Linked DNA regions of Macaca mulatta. The protein of the gene in region 1 interacts with the protein of each later gene in a pairwise test. Links are inferred from orthologs where the notes say so. Each region holds a gene or a part of one and is shown in the gene's direction. Other genes may lie near its edges.

Region 1 (3,500 bases):
TACTATAAAGGTAAAATTTGATTTGATTTGATTTGATGTGTAAAAACCCAGAAACACGTAGTGACGGTGCTCAGTGCTGGTGAAGCCACAGTTGAGGTAGACACATTCTCTTATCCTACTAAAAGAAAATAAATCAGTAAAAATTGGATAGAAATTGAGTAGTATTTATCAAGAACCTTAAGCAAAATCATATTTTAAAATATAATTTCTCTTATGGAATTATTATCTAATGAAATAATCATAATTACTGTAATACTTTGATTACAGGGATATTCATTATAGCATTTTCCAAATTAGGGAAAAATTGGAAACAACCCAAATGTATATCAGTAGGGGAATGATTACATAAACATGATACATGCCTATAAGGAAACATACAGTTGTTAAAAGTAATGTTTTTGAATTTTTGTATGGTGTGAGACATAATCAGTGTCAAGTACTAAGTGAGAAAGGATAGAAGAAAGAATGATCTCAATTATGTTCTTTTAAAAAATTAGAGTACTTTGACAATTAGGAAAAAATGCTGTCTACAGAAGAATTGAACTTTGACTCTTGAACTGCAGAGTTGATGATGATATTTTACATTTTCTAGATAAAATTATTCTGTTTGCATCCTACAAAACAAGTAATGATGGAAAATAAATTGGAGGTTCATAAGGATAAGACATTAAAGGAAGCAGTAGAAATGGCTTATAAGGTATGTTTAACTGCATCATTGGCATTTACTTACTAATACAACAGTATTAACATAATTTCCCAATTTTTTATTATGGATAGTAGTTATATAAACACTGGCAGTAACCTTGGTAACCAGTTAATTTATCTCTTACTGAGTATATTTATACCTCTCCTTTGGAGCATAGTCAGTTGATTTTGAAAATTTTCTCTCTCTGGAAGCCATTTAAACTTTCTAGATCCCAGAATTAAAATTAGAAACAGAATGTTTATTTGCTCTTTCTGTTCATTTAACATACATTTCTTGAGTGTTTACTGTATGAAACATTAGCGATATTAGAGTGAATAAGACAACATGAGGTGTTAGAGATACGAAAGTGAACAAGGCGTGGTCACTGCCTTCATGGAGTTTACAATCCATTGGAAAGAACAGACAAAACATATGTAAACATCACAATTTGCAATTATTTTATTATTTAGATGCTGTAAATACATTAGTATTAAATTGAGAAAATTTATTTTGAGACTTTAACCATGAGAAAGGGAAGCAGTGATGCAAAAAGTTGAGGAGGAATATACTGGTCCATAGTCAGATGCATTACCCACTCGGTCACTGGCCCGTGCTCAAGGAAGAATATTCTAAGTAGAGTGAACAGCATATGCAAAAGTGCTGAGGTGAGGAGATGCTTGGCACGTTTAAGAAACTGAAGAAAGGAGCCATACGTTTAGATTGTTTTAAGTGAGCACAGAGTACCATAAAATGAGATTAGAGGTTTTGTGAAATAGAAGTTTGCATTTTGTTCTCTAAGAGTAGTGGAAAGTTATTAATGAGGTTTGAAAGGCAAATGGGGTCACGCTGTTTCACCAGATCATTCTAAATGTCATTTATGATACTTAACAAATTAAAGTTTTCCCCTTTCCATATAAGCATTAACAGAATGACTGAAATTAAACCATCATTACCTAGAGAAAAAAATTGCATACTACATCATTTTGTGTGTAGTTATAATGGAACCAATAAAATAACTAAAAATAACACACAAGATAGCTGACATTGTTTCTCAAAGTGTGATCCAGCACAATCTGCACCAGAGTCACATTCTTATTAAAAATGCTAATTGCTGCAGATGAATCAGAATTTCTCTGTTGGAGCCCGGGAATAGGCATTTTAACACATATATCAGGTGATTCTTAGACATAGTCAAGTTTGAGAATCATTTATATTATACATCTGGTCCTGCATAGCACTTATCAGTATTGAAATTTTACATTTAATTGTTTGACTATTTTAATTAATATTACTGTCCCTCACTAGACTATAAGCACATACAAGTGCAAAAACCATTCTGGTTTTGCTCATAATTTTATTTTTAGTATTCTTCCCTGGTATATAGAAAAGTCAAAAATGGTTGGGTATGTTGAATGGATAAATGAATGAACAAACATTAAGATGTATGGATGGCTCTGGATTTGCCTCATTTTGGTAAAAATTCTTTAAATATAATGGTGGACTGCAAGCATTAGTCTTGAAAATAGGAAGTGTGAAAGTTTGCAAATAAAAAGAAACAAACAGAAGAGAGAAATAAGTCAATCTTATATGCCAAAACTAGAGCTTCATTGTTGGGGGTGGGAGTTGGGGAGGAGTAGAGATCAATGGGGATACACTGAGCCTTACAAGTCCTTCTTGAAAATCGTAATCACAACCTTAAATGAACATTGAATACTTCTAAGCAATCCTACTATGTTTCTCTAGGAGGCTTATTTCCTATCAAGAGAGTTGTTGCAACCAGGGTATGTCATCTATTAGTGACATAAGCTAGAAGGAAATTTTATGATAGAAATTCCTATACCATGAGCTGTAAGTATTCTGGAGGCTAATATTGAAAGGGGATATCTGGAGAGGAATGAGGTGGCACCTGAGAGACAGAAGCCATACCCTTTGTGATGGCTTTATGAGACATGCTGTCCTCCTGTACTTAGATTGTTACTAGATACATGAATTATCAATTCTACTCCAGATTGGATTAAGAAAACAAAAGATGCATATTCTAGTTGGCTGTTCGGTTGTTTTCTTCTGTGTTTCCAGCTTAGTTGATTACGAACAATTGTTATAATACATTGATTTTGTTTCTACATCTAAAGTTTATGAAGTTTACTTTTTAAAAACAAAAATGTATTTAGTACATGCTTTATATGATTTGAGGGATAATGAAACATAATTATTTAAAAATAACATTTAAGTTGTGCCTGTAACTTTGATGTCTTTGATGCAAATCATAAATGTGTGGATTTTGTTAGGGCCTATTGTGGTGTTATTACCCAACAGACTAGAACACTGTGTATTTATATATGTATATATATTTTTTCTTTCTGGGGGATTATTTTCTTTTAGATGATGGATTTAGAAGAGGTAATACCCCTGGATTGCTGTCGCCTTGTTAAATATGATGAGTTTCATGATTATCTAGAACGGTCATATGAAGGAGAAGAAGATACACCAATGGGGCTTCTACTAGGTGGCGTCAAGTCAACATATATGTTTGATTTGCTGCTGGAGACGAGAAAGCCTGATCAGGTTTTCCAGTCTTATAAACCTGGAGGTGAGCAGTTTTACACTATTTTTAGTTTTACTGTACTTAAAATGTTCATGAGAAAGTTTTTTTTTTTTTTATTGTAGAAATGAACATAATTTAAATTTTTCATATGGTCTTAAAATGTAGAATAATTTTGACAGGTTGAGAAGTACTCAGCAACAGCTTGAAATTAAGTTCTAGATTACTTGCAAAGAGTTGTATGCATAATTTTAAAAACAACAAAAAAATAGC
Region 2 (4,293 bases), on another chromosome or scaffold:
TAATAATATGAACATTTAAATAAACTACCGAATTCTCCCCAAAGTGGGCATAACTCTTTTGCACAGTCTGTTTTAACCAGCGAAGAATAAAGAGCCCGGGGCAGTGCACAGGGCGATCCAACATCTATTCCCCAGGGGAATTCCTGTCCCTACTTTAGTTTAAAATCCTAGCGCCGTTCCCCATTGGCCTCCCACACTCCGGCCTCAAGGTTCTCAGCTTTCTTTCCACCCCCATGATCCCCTGCCTTCTTTGGGTCCCCCGAGCCCCTTATCTCACCGAGACCTCCGCCACCAGGCAGGTCCCGCACCCCACCACCGCTCCCGCCAGCGCTTCCGCTCTTAGTAAACAAAGAAGCACATGGGCCCGGATTCCAGCCGCTTCACAGCCCGGGATTCCTCCGCCCGAGGCGGGAGCCAGTTCAGCCATTGGCCAGCACGCCCAGGGCCACTGCGATCCCAGCCCACTGCCGCCTTTCCCGGGCCCGAGCGAAGCTCCCGGATCCCAGGCACGCCCCCCCGGGTCGCAGCTCTCTCCGAGGCCGCCACGCGGAAGGACACTGTTTACACGACACTCCCTCCACCCGCGTCGCGCCACTTCCGCCCGGCTCCACTTCCGCTCGGAGGGCGGCCTCAAACGGCCAATCCCGGCACGCAGCGGCCCCGGCTTGCCCGCCCCCGGGGCCTCCGCGCGCCTCGGGGAGGCGGCGGGAACCTGGGAATATCCAAAAGCGCGGAGGGAAGCGGGTCCGGGGTCCAGAGCCCTTAAAGAGTCTCCTGAGGTCCTCGGCGCGACTCTTCCCTGTGCAGCCCCCAGCCGGGTAGCGCCCCCCAAGCCCCCCAACCCCACGACTCTATAACACCTTTCCCAAGTGGGATTACTACCTTTTCTTCAACGTCGATGCCCCTCGCGCGCCTTCCAGGTCCCGTGGGCCTTAGCCAGGCCGCAACCCGACCCTGCCTCTGGCGTCGCGCGCCCCAGAACCCGCTGACCCCGGTCCTCGAAAACCCCAGCTCACATCAACAGGTGTTCCCCGGGAGGCTCCCCGCGCAGGACGCCCTCCCAGGCTTGTAGACCCGTACCTTTCTCTAGCGCGTAGTCCTTCAGTGCCATCGCTGCCGAGGCCCGTGCGGCAGCTCTTGGCGGGCTCAGAGGTCTTGCTTCTGGGGAAGCTGAGAACGTCCGGGCGGTGGACTGTGGCCGGCCAACCGAAATTGGCGCGAAACGTCGCCCCCCACGTGACCAGCGCCACTGCGTGCGGGCCAATCGGAAAAGCCGGCCCTTTCTCCCTCCCGCTAGCCGCAAGCCAATCGCCGGGCGGGCCTCGAATGAGTGACGGGGAGGCGGTGCGGGAGTCGGAAGGGAATCTCCGGGCGGGGTGGGGCGGGCGCCGGGTTTCCCGCGGTCCAAGCTGGCGCGGGCGGAGGAGAATCGCTCTTAAAGGGCCAGCGCACGCGCGTTCTTTTGTTCCGGGGCCTCAGGGCGGGGCAGGCCCAACTTTCGCCGTCTTCTTGTCTGCTCTCCAGGACGGCCATGATTTCCCAGTTCTTCATTCTGTCCTCCAAGGGGGACCCGCTCATCTACAAAGACTGTATCCTAGACCCTCGGGGCTGGGAAGGGGCGGAGGGACCGGGCGGGAGGGGCGCCCAGGGCCAGCCCGTGTCGCAGGATCCTTCACTGAGTCCTTCCACCCGCCAGTCCGCGGGGACAGTGGCGGCCGGGATGTGGCCGAGCTCTTCTACCGGAAGCTGACGGGACTGCCAGGAGACGAGTCCCCGGTTGTCATGGTAACCACTGGCGGGAGGCGGGTGAGGAGCTGGGCCCGGGCGGGCCGGGTGGGCGCCGTCTCCCTCCCAGGACTGGTTCCATGGTAGCTTCCACTTGGGGGTTGTATTTCTCCAAGTAAAACTAACAAGAGGCCCGGCGCGGTGGCTCACGCCTGTAATCCCAGCACTTTGGGAGGCCGAGGAGGGCGGATCACCTGAGGTCAGGAGTTCGAAACCATTCTGACCAACATGCTGAAACTCCGCATCTACTAAAAATACGAAAAAAAAATTAGCTGGGCGTGGTGCGGGCGCCTGTAATCCCATCTACTCGGGAAGCTGAGGCAGGAGAATCGCTTGAACCGAGGAGGCAGAGGTTGCAGTGAGCCGAGATCCGGACACCGCACCCAGCCTGGGTGACAGAGCGAGACTCCGTCTCGGGGTAATGGGGGTGGGGGAAAAAAAAAAACGTCCATTGGGCGCCAGCAACACACCAGGCCCAGCTCCCTGCGTGACTCCATTATCAGCAACTTGGGGTAGTTACTATAATTAACCCCGTTTCCACATGGGAAGCTGGGCTCAGGGATCTGTCATGTATCTCCCAAACTAGTAAGAGGCATCGGGATCCCAGCTCAGGTCTCCTGGGTTCTGATTACTCCACCTCCCTTTTCCTAACCCCTCTTCTCCCTGCCTGTGTTTCAGCATCATGATGGCCGTCATTTCATTCACATCAGACACAGCAGCCTGTATTTGGTGGTCACAACTTCAGAAAACGTTTCTCCCTTCAGCCTCCTAGAACTGCTCTCCAGGTGAGGAGGGTTGGGCTGGGCACCTGCTAGCTGGCAGGGTTCTCAGAGGAGGAGGAAATACACGCTCCAAGTGTTTCCTCAGGTTGGCCACTCTTCTGGGCGATTACTGTGGCTCCCTGGGCGAGGGGACCATCTCCCGCAATGTGGCTCTGGTCTACGAACTCCTGGATGAAGTGCTGGTGAGAATCAATGATCCCCTTCTGTGGCCCCCACCTAATTCCCCTGGAGATACATCTGCTCTTCTACTGTGGGATGCTGTGGTTAGGCCAAGTCTATTTTTTTTTTCCTTTTAGAGACGGTCTTGCTCTGTTGCCCAGGCTGGAGTGCAGTGGTGCAATTATAGCTCACTGCAGCCTGGAACTCCTGGGCTCAAGCTATTCTCCTGCCTCAGCCTCCTCCCCTGTGTCCAGCTCATTGTTTATTTTTTGTAGAGACGGGAGTCTCGCTCTGTTGCCCAGGCTGGTCTTGAACTCGTGGTCTCAAACCATTCTCCTATGTCTCGGCCTTCCAAAGACCTGGGAGTACAAGAGTGTGCCACCATGCCTGGCCCCACTCCCCCTTTTTACCCCTTCCCTCCACTGACCACTCGGACTGTCCTTCCTTTACCACTAGGACTATGGCTATGTACAGACCACATCCACAGAGATGCTGAGGAATTTCATCCAGACGGAAGCTGTGGTCAGCAAGCCCTTCAGCCTCTTTGACCTCAGCAGCGTTGGCTTGGTCAGCAGAGGGAAAGAGGAGGGTGAGGAAGGAGAAGAGGGGTTGGCTGGGGTTGTCAGACCTGATGATTGATTGCTTTGGATGCTTTACAGTTTGGGGCTGAGACACAACAGAGCAAAGTGGCTCCCAGCAGTGCAGCCAGCCGCCCTGTCCTGTCCAGTCGCTCTGACCAGGTGAGGGAGGAATCCATGGGGTCAGACCCTCTGGTTTTGCTCTGGGACCCCAGAGTCCAAGATCTTACGTTGGGGCGCAGTGGTTCATGCCTGTAATCCCAGCACTTTAGGAGGCCGAGGTGGGCGGATCTCCTGATGCCAGGAGTTCGAGAGCAGCCTGGCCAACATGGTAAAATCCAAAAATGCAAAAAAAAAAGAAAAAGGAAAAGATCGGCCAGGCGCGGTGGCTCAAGCCTGTAATCTCAGCACTTTGGGAGGCCGAGACAGGCGGATCACAAGGTCAGGAGATCGAGACCATCCTGGCTAACACGGTGAAACCCCATCTCTACTAAAAAATACAAAAAGCTAGCCGGGCGAGGTGGCGGGCGCCTGTAGTCCTAGCTACTCAGGAGGCTGAGGCAGGAGAATGGCGTAAACCCGGGAGGCGGAACTTGCAGTGAGCTGAGATCGGGCCACTGCACTCCAGCCCGGGCGACAGAGCGAGACTCCATCTCAAAAAAAAAAAAGATCTTGACACCTCTCCCACCTCCCCTAGATGTGGGTATCCCTTCCATCACCCATGTCCCCACCCTAGAGCTGTAGCTTTGACTGTCCTGTCCTTTCTCCCTGTCTGTCCATTTCAGAACATAGGCTATTCTGCTTCCAACCATCCAAACCCTCTCTCTTTCTTAGAGCCAAAAGAATGAAGTTTTTTTGGATGTGGTCGAGAGATTGTCTGTACTGATAGCATCTAATGTAAGTCTGAGCTCCCAAACCTGGAGCTGAGGACAAATGGGACTTGAGAAACATGGTGGGGTGGTTAAGACTCCCAGCAATGGCCACACAGT

What was found. The genes of interacting proteins can lie anywhere in the genome.
Region 2: the proteins of USP47 (region 1) and AP4M1 interact in binary tests that used the Homo sapiens proteins (3 or more experiments, as listed by UniProt). The two-hybrid records come from large-scale screens. The link is inferred for Macaca mulatta from reciprocal best matches to the Homo sapiens genes USP47 and AP4M1.

Annotation. Positions count from the first base shown.
Region 1 is NC_133419.1:53,524,450-53,527,949, reverse strand, and holds part of USP47 (ubiquitin carboxyl-terminal hydrolase 47), read left to right. Parts: intron 1-592; coding exon 593-697; intron 698-3,067; coding exon 3,068-3,275; intron 3,276-3,500. UniProt on the Homo sapiens protein: Ubiquitin-specific protease that specifically deubiquitinates monoubiquitinated DNA polymerase beta (POLB), stabilizing POLB thereby playing a role in base-excision repair (BER). Acts as a regulator of cell growth and genome integrity.
Region 2 is NC_133408.1:47,408,006-47,412,298, forward strand, and holds the start of AP4M1 (AP-4 complex subunit mu-1), read left to right. Parts: upstream 1-1,493; 5' UTR 1,494-1,531; coding exon 1,532-1,589; exon of another isoform or gene 1,590-1,696; coding exon 1,697-1,806; exon of another isoform or gene 1,807-2,203; intron 2,204-2,463; coding exon 2,464-2,570; intron 2,571-2,652; coding exon 2,653-2,749; intron 2,750-3,182; coding exon 3,183-3,293; intron 3,294-3,385; coding exon 3,386-3,466; intron 3,467-4,138; coding exon 4,139-4,201; intron 4,202-4,293. Other genes in the region: DNA replication licensing factor MCM7, read right to left, coding at 1,081-1,111. UniProt on the Homo sapiens protein: Component of the adaptor protein complex 4 (AP-4). Adaptor protein complexes are vesicle coat components involved both in vesicle formation and cargo selection. They control the vesicular transport of proteins in different trafficking pathways.